Linked DNA regions of Macaca fascicularis. The protein of the gene in region 1 purifies or fractionates together with the protein of each later gene. This does not show direct contact. Links are inferred from orthologs where the notes say so. Each region holds a gene or a part of one and is shown on either strand. Other genes may lie near its edges.

Evidence for each region. Proteins that work in one complex are often made in the same cells at the same time.
Region 2: the proteins of UTRN (region 1) and DTNA purify together in Homo sapiens (affinity purification with mass spectrometry; 3 studies listed by BioGRID and IntAct, with this or other methods). This does not show direct contact. The link is inferred for Macaca fascicularis from reciprocal best matches to the Homo sapiens genes UTRN and DTNA.

The regions. Positions count from the first base shown.
Region 1 is NC_088378.1:48,724,575-48,728,094, forward strand, and holds part of UTRN (utrophin), read left to right. Parts: intron 1-2,418; coding exon 2,419-2,547; intron 2,548-3,163; coding exon 3,164-3,334; intron 3,335-3,520.
Region 2 is NC_088392.1:54,951,758-54,955,277, forward strand, and holds part of DTNA (dystrobrevin alpha), read right to left. Parts: intron 3,477-3,520; coding exon 3,308-3,476; intron 2,391-3,307; exon of another isoform or gene 2,281-2,390; intron 991-2,280; coding exon 858-990; intron 1-857. UniProt on the Homo sapiens protein: May be involved in the formation and stability of synapses as well as being involved in the clustering of nicotinic acetylcholine receptors.

The DNA.
Region 1 (3,520 bases):
ATTGTTTAATTTGTAAAATGGACATTATTATATCTGTCTCAGACAGTTTTGCAATGATTAATTATAAGCCTTAAACATGTAGTGCTCTTAAATAACCAATTAAATAACCAAAACAACCAATTTTAGATTTTGCTATATTTATAATTATTAAATATTGTATATGTGTTAGTCTTTGGTTATGCCACTACTCTGTAAATTATCTCATGGAAATAGTTATCATTTAATTTTTATAGTGGTTTTACGTTCCTATGATACTAACTGTGAATATATGGCCACCCCACCCTCCCCTGCTGAGGAAGGCATTGTCATTTATATATAAATTTTTTAATTCTGAAATTCTAATAAAATATATATAATTAAAAATATATATTTTTAATTCTGAAATACCTGAGATAGGACTTTTATCAAATTTATAGAATTACTAGGTAATGGATAGAGACAACAAGCATACATTATTGTGTGTTTGAATATTTATTTAAATTCATCAGGATGTGTAGGGCAGTGAAGAGCCATGGACTTTGCTCTTGATCTCTAACAGATTTATATCCACAGTCCTTGACTTATTAGCTGTTTAACCTTAGCTAAGTTACTTAATGTTACTAAGCTGAAATTTCCATATATAGAGAATGAGAACAAAAGTATATACCTAACAGAGAATATAATAGTGAATATGAGATTCTTGGCTCATAGAATATGCTCATTAAATATTTTATATATTAATTTTTAATTACTAGCTTTATTTCACATTCTCATGGCCCTGATTTCTGTATTCTTCTGTCTATACCTTTCAAACTCTCCATTCAAGCAGTATCTTTCTAACGCTGTTAGAACATTTGATTTACCTGCTTGAAAGGGGTAAACAAGTCTGGTGCTCATCAGTTCTTCCTACTTAGGATCCAGATCACTGTTGATATTTTCTCATATCATTTATTAGTTCACATTCTTTTTTTTAATGTTTATTTTAAATTCAGGGGCACAAGTGCAAGTTTGTTTTCTTTTATTTTTATGTCTCTTATTTGTTCACTTTTTTTTTTTTTTTTTTTTTTTTTTGAGGCTGGCTGTCACTCTGTCACCCATGCTGGAGTGCAGTGGTATGATCACAGGTCACTGCAACCTCTACCTCCCCAGGCTCAGGTGATCCTTCCACCTCAGCCTTGCGAGTAGGTGGGACTACAGGCATGCGCCACCACACCTGGCTAATTTTTATATTTGTTTTTAGAGATGGGGTTTCACCATGTTGTCCAGGCTGGTCTTGAATTCCTGAGGTCAAGTGATCCTCCCATCGGGCCCTCCCAAAGTACTGGATTACAGGCGTGAGCCACCATACCCAGCCGACATTTTCTTTTTCAACTATTTTTCATATTATAGATTAATAATTTCTTTCTTTGTAAAAATTTTTACTGTCTAAGCATTTTCCAGTTTCTTTTATCCCACAACATATAATTGCTAAATGTTAATTTTATCATAAGCCTCCTTACCCTTTTCGGTCACACTCTAACTTCTTGCCTTAGTCCCAAGAAGGGACTGCTTTTCCCAGTCATAATCTGCTTAACTGTTGCTTCCGTTTTCAAATCTGTTCTGTCAAGCACGTTTCATGTCCTGCTTCAGGACATCTTGCTGTGGTCTATGCCAGATGTAATATTAAGGGCTGGTGATATAGAGGTAAGGAGACAAAGGCACTGTCCTTTAAGCAGAGCATACAGCATCTTTTTTTCAATTCATATTTTCATCATTTAAAAAAATTATTCAGTAAGTGAGTGTTTAAAAAATATGGGCCAGGTGCGGGTGCACACCTGTCATCCCAGCACTTTGGGAGGCTGAGGTGGGTGGATCACGAGGTCAAGAGATCAAGACTATCTTGGCCAACATAGTGAAACCCTGTCTCTACTAAAAATACTAAAAATTAGCAGGGGGTGGTGGTGCACACCTGCAGTCCTAGCTACTCAGGAGGCTGAGGCAGGAGAATCGCTTGAACCCGGGAGGCGGAGATTGCAATGAGTCGAGATTGCACAGATTGCACCACTGTACTGCAGCCTGGCAACAGAGCAAGATTCCATCTTAAAAAAAAAAAAAAAAAAAGATTGAGGAGGGCAAATCAGATCAGTTGTAATATAAGAATGAGTAATAAGAGATGAACTTGCATTGAAATTGAAAAAAAAAACTTTCAACTTTTATTCTACTTCAACTTTTTATTGTGCTGAGGTCTAAATCAGATAAATTTAAGAAGTGTTAAGCAGCATAGATGTGCATTTTTAGGAATGAGATTTATTCACTGAAGAAGAGCTCTGCAGGAAGGTGAAAGCTTTTCTTTAAATTCATGATACAGTTTGCTCTTTGAAGGTCTTTTAAATCTCTTTTAAGATTATCATCTTAAATATTTCATATGGTTATGTAAGCATTTTATTAATTCCTTTGTAGAACCATCAGAACCAGCTAGAAATATTTGATGGAAATGTGGCCCACATAAGTACCTGGCTGTATCAAGCTGAAGCTCTATTGGATGAAATTGAAAAGAAACCAGCAAGTAAACGGGAAGAAATTGTAAAGGTGGCAAACATAGAGACATCAGTAACACTTTTGGGGTGGAATGTTTTGTTGTCATGTTTTCTCTTGTGGAATGCTCTAAGTTACTTATGCTCTTATTCCTCCCAAGCGTTAGATTCATTAACATTTATTTTGATGGGAGAAACTGAGACAATAAGAGACAAACTCAATAAGAGACAAACTTGAATTGAAATCGAAAGACTAGTAAGAGACTTCAGCACAATCAACAAGAGTAAAAGCTATGCACATAAGATGCCAATGAGTCTTGCTTACTTCTGCATTCTCCACTGAGTGCTGCTTACTTCTGTATTCTCCAGTGACCCTTACTTACTTTTGTATTCTCCAATGAGTCTGTCTTACTTCTGTACTCTCCAATATGTCTTACATACTTCTATATTCTCCAGCGAGTCTTACCTCTGTATTCTCCAATGAGAGTTGCTTACCTCTGTGTTCTCCAATGAGCCCTATGTGAACAGCTCTTGCCTGGTTGATTATGCTGAAATCTCTTACTGGGGATCCCAGATATTTATTTAAACTACCTTTCATTCTGTAAAAGCATCACACTCATGTTTGGGTTTGATTTTTCCCATGAGATAATTTTGTGTTTTCTTATAATTAGCGTTTAGTATCTGAGCTGGATGATGCTAACCTCCAGGTTGAAAATGTCCGCGATCAAGCCCTTATTTTGATGAATGCCCGTGGAAGCTCAAGCAGGGAGCTTGTAGAACCAAAGTTAGCTGAGCTGAATAGGAACTTTGAAAAGGTGTCCCAACATATCAAAAGTGCCAAAGTGAGTAATTATGTTTTTAGGGTAAACCATTTTTCCTATGGGTATGTATCTAAATGATAGTCATACAGTATATACATAAACAATTTTTATTTTATTATTTTAATTTTATTGTTTTCTCGCTCTGTCACCCAGGCTGGAGTGCAGTGGCATGATCTCACTGTAACCCCCGCCTTCTAGGCACAAGCT
Region 2 (3,520 bases), on another chromosome or scaffold:
TTTTCAGGTGGCTAACATACTCCAGTACATCTGAAAATCTGTCCGTCCACACCTTGCTGAACACAGGCCTGCAGTTCCCCCAACATTTCTCCATGAGGTTTGCCATTCTCCTACTTACACTTGGCATGAGGTGGGCAATGAGGAAGGCTGAGGGCAAATAATTCAAGGGAGGTGATGGGTTTATGATTATTCAATTTTCTTGTGCCCTGCTCTTTGCATCCATTTAAAAATAATTATGAGAAAAAGCATCTTTCTTAATGGGCCTGAAAGAGTTTGGACTGTTAGTTACCATGTTATTTTCCAATATAAGAAGGCCACTTATCACTTTCTATGGCGGAATTTAAAAGAATACATGGTGAGTGACAGTTATAAGAAGTGGGTGCAGTGGCTCACACTTGTAATCCCAGCACTTTGGAAGGCTGAGGTGGGCGGATCACGAGGTCAGGAGTTCGAGACCAGCCTGGCCAATATGGTGAAACCTCGTCTCTACTAAAAATACAGAAATTAGCTGGGCGTAGTGATGTGCACCTGTAGTCCCAGCAACTGGGGAGGCTGAGGCAGGAGAATTGCTTAAACCAGGGAGGCAGAGGTTGCAGTGAGCCAAGATCACACCACTGCACTCCAGCCTGGGTGACAGAGTGAAACTCTGTCTCAAAAAAAAAAAAAAAAAAAAAAAAAAAGAAGCATTTAATATTTGTACTGTCTAGAAGACATGGATTAAGGAGTAAAATCAGCATATTTTGGAAAGGGAGGGTGGAAGGAAGGAGAAGGCCCTGATTCTGCAAGTCATGTCAAAGACCCAGCTACCAAGGGGTTGAGGCAGAAGAGGTGGGGTGGGTGGGCCTGGATCCCGGTACCTGATAGGCTTCATCCTGCAGCTTCTGTTTCAGGTATTCCTCCATCTTGAGCTCATTCTCCAGCTGCCGGACAGAGTCATTTTCGTAGTTTTCATCCTCAGGCCGCACATAGGGATCTGCATCCTCCGTAACCCTGAGAAGAAACCACAGATGACATTTTAGAGTGAATCTTAAAAGAGAATTACAAGTGGGATTCGTGTGTGAGCTGTAGTTTATTGGCACCTTTATTTCTCCTTAGTTCTCCAAGTCACTTTCATGTCTTCTTTAGTAATACCTAAAGAAAAACTTGGAAACATTTTGGAGGTTGGAAGCAATATATGATCAAGGTATTTGCATACACAATTTTTTTATGGCAGTTGTGGTCATAGGTCATCTCTCTTTTTCCTAGGGTTTACTGAAATGGGTTGGCCCTTTAAATGTTCTATAATTTAAAAAATGGCAAACATCTTTTGAGGGGATACAAAGTTTTCCCAATCAGAGGGCTCTTTTTATTCTTCTTCAAAATAGAACCCAAGATCACTTTCTGTATGGAGAGTGAGCCCTCTAGTGAAGTAATGCTTAAGGACATTTGGTTTTAATTTAGTCTCTTTTGTGTTACCCACACATGCACATACACATATGAATGCACACCACATTCATGCCTTATTTTTACAGAATTAAGTCTAAGAACATCAGCTAGTCGATGCCAGGAGGGCTACTAACCCATAACTCTTGATCTTAGCTCTAAATATGAAAAAGAAAAAGCATTTTAATTATCTAATTCCACTCTGAAATAGTTAAAAATGACTTCATTCCCTGATGTGGGACTCTGTCTCCATCTATTCATCCTAGACTATGCAAAGCTCTTCATGGGGCTGGACGTAAGCTTGCTACCTAAATCAGAGGACTAAAAGATTCTCAGGGTAAGACACAAGGACATGTTTAGACAATAGAGATATTAAATTATTCCCTAAAATGAAATAAGTGGTCAAGAAGAAGTTTCTAGGCTGGAACTTGAACGTCGTTGTTCATGTTTATTTATAGCTGTACAACTTGTTCTGGTTATTTTTGGAGGTTTGGGGCCAGCCTAAATGGGTCTGCCTAGGCCTCTGTTAACTTTCCTTCCCTAACTCCTGAGTCACATGTTGGTAGCTGGTACTGCCACTCAGCGTACCAGGGCTAGCAGATTAGGGTGGCCCCAACAGCCTTGGCCTTTAGAATTGGGACAAGGAAATTCTAGCTAACTGCCATATAAATGCTTAATAATAAAAAGTCAAATAGATATGCATTTACCAGACAAAACAGATGACAACTAATTCACTATTTTGAATAACAAATCCAACAATTCTAGAATACAGAAGAAAGGACAAGAAAGCAAACTCTATTAAGCAGCAGCGTACTGCCATGTTAAGTCCCATTATAATGGTTTTGTTTTGATCCTATTCTCTGCTGCTTCACAGCTGACTCTCAGACCACAGCTCTTGATAATTCTCCATGATTACTGATCGTTTATTCACTGCTGGGATTGGGAGCCAGACACCAGAAAGGCCTCAGGTTAGTTTCTTCTCTGAGTCTTTAACATGGCCAGTTTATTTTTATACACTAGTCTGAAGTACTTTTCGTATTAAGCAACACCACCCTTCTGTAGTATTTTTAGCGTTCAGACGCTCCCTCCCCCAGCTTTTGCCCACGTTTCCCGTAACTCCACGAACCATGGTCTCCTAACGGGCCACTTTCTTCCCTTCTTTTGTTTTCCTCCTTTCCCTCCCAAGTTGGGCTCTGCAGCTCTGTCCCAGCTTTGCCTTTGTTTCTCAGCTTTGGTTTTCTCTGCTGACTACTTTGAGCTGATCCAGGGTCACAGAAAGTCTAGTGGTCACAGGACGTCACTGATGCTGCTGGTTTCTGACAAGCTCCAGAACTGGGTGGAAACTTTCGCAAATAAGTCTTTAGAGGGTCAGATGTATACATATTCAACAAGTCAACCAAACTGGATTTCTTTATAATGAGATTTTATACATGTACTTATTTCAATTCCAAATACTTATATGATGTTGTTTACACCAATTCTGAACAGAGACCTCTCCAATGTCATGGTATCCTCTAAGTGCAAATACAATAAGTTCAGAAGATAGGATGATTTATCTCCTGAAGTAGTCTGAGTCCTAAAAGGGTGGCAGCAGTTTTTTAATACTATTTTGTATAGAACTAGCACTGTGCCTTGGGCAAGGCAGGCTCTTGATAGGCACTGGTTGGTTTAGGTTATTGATAACTCTCTGGAAATTGTAAGAGGGGAGATATTACAATGCCGAATTTATATGTAGCACCATTCTGTATCTCTGGCAGAAAAGAAAACTATGTCACCCCTTTTGAAGGTTAAAAAAAAACCCTAAACAATTATGCTTTTACATTCTTATTGCCTCCTACGGATTGTTTTGTTACTGAGAAAATGCCTCCAAGCGGAAGATACTCACATGTCGCCACGCATGGTACTTGTGGTAGCTCCACTGTGAATATACCCAGGTTTTCGAGCATGGATTTGCGCTAGAAAAGCCTTTTCAGAGGTTGGTGAGGGAACAAGATCCTCAAACTGAGTCCGTGCAAATTCAGAATCCACATTACTCTCTGTTTCACTCCCAACCTCTGGCAGATACAATTGAAGAAATAAAGAGTGACTTGTTAGATTT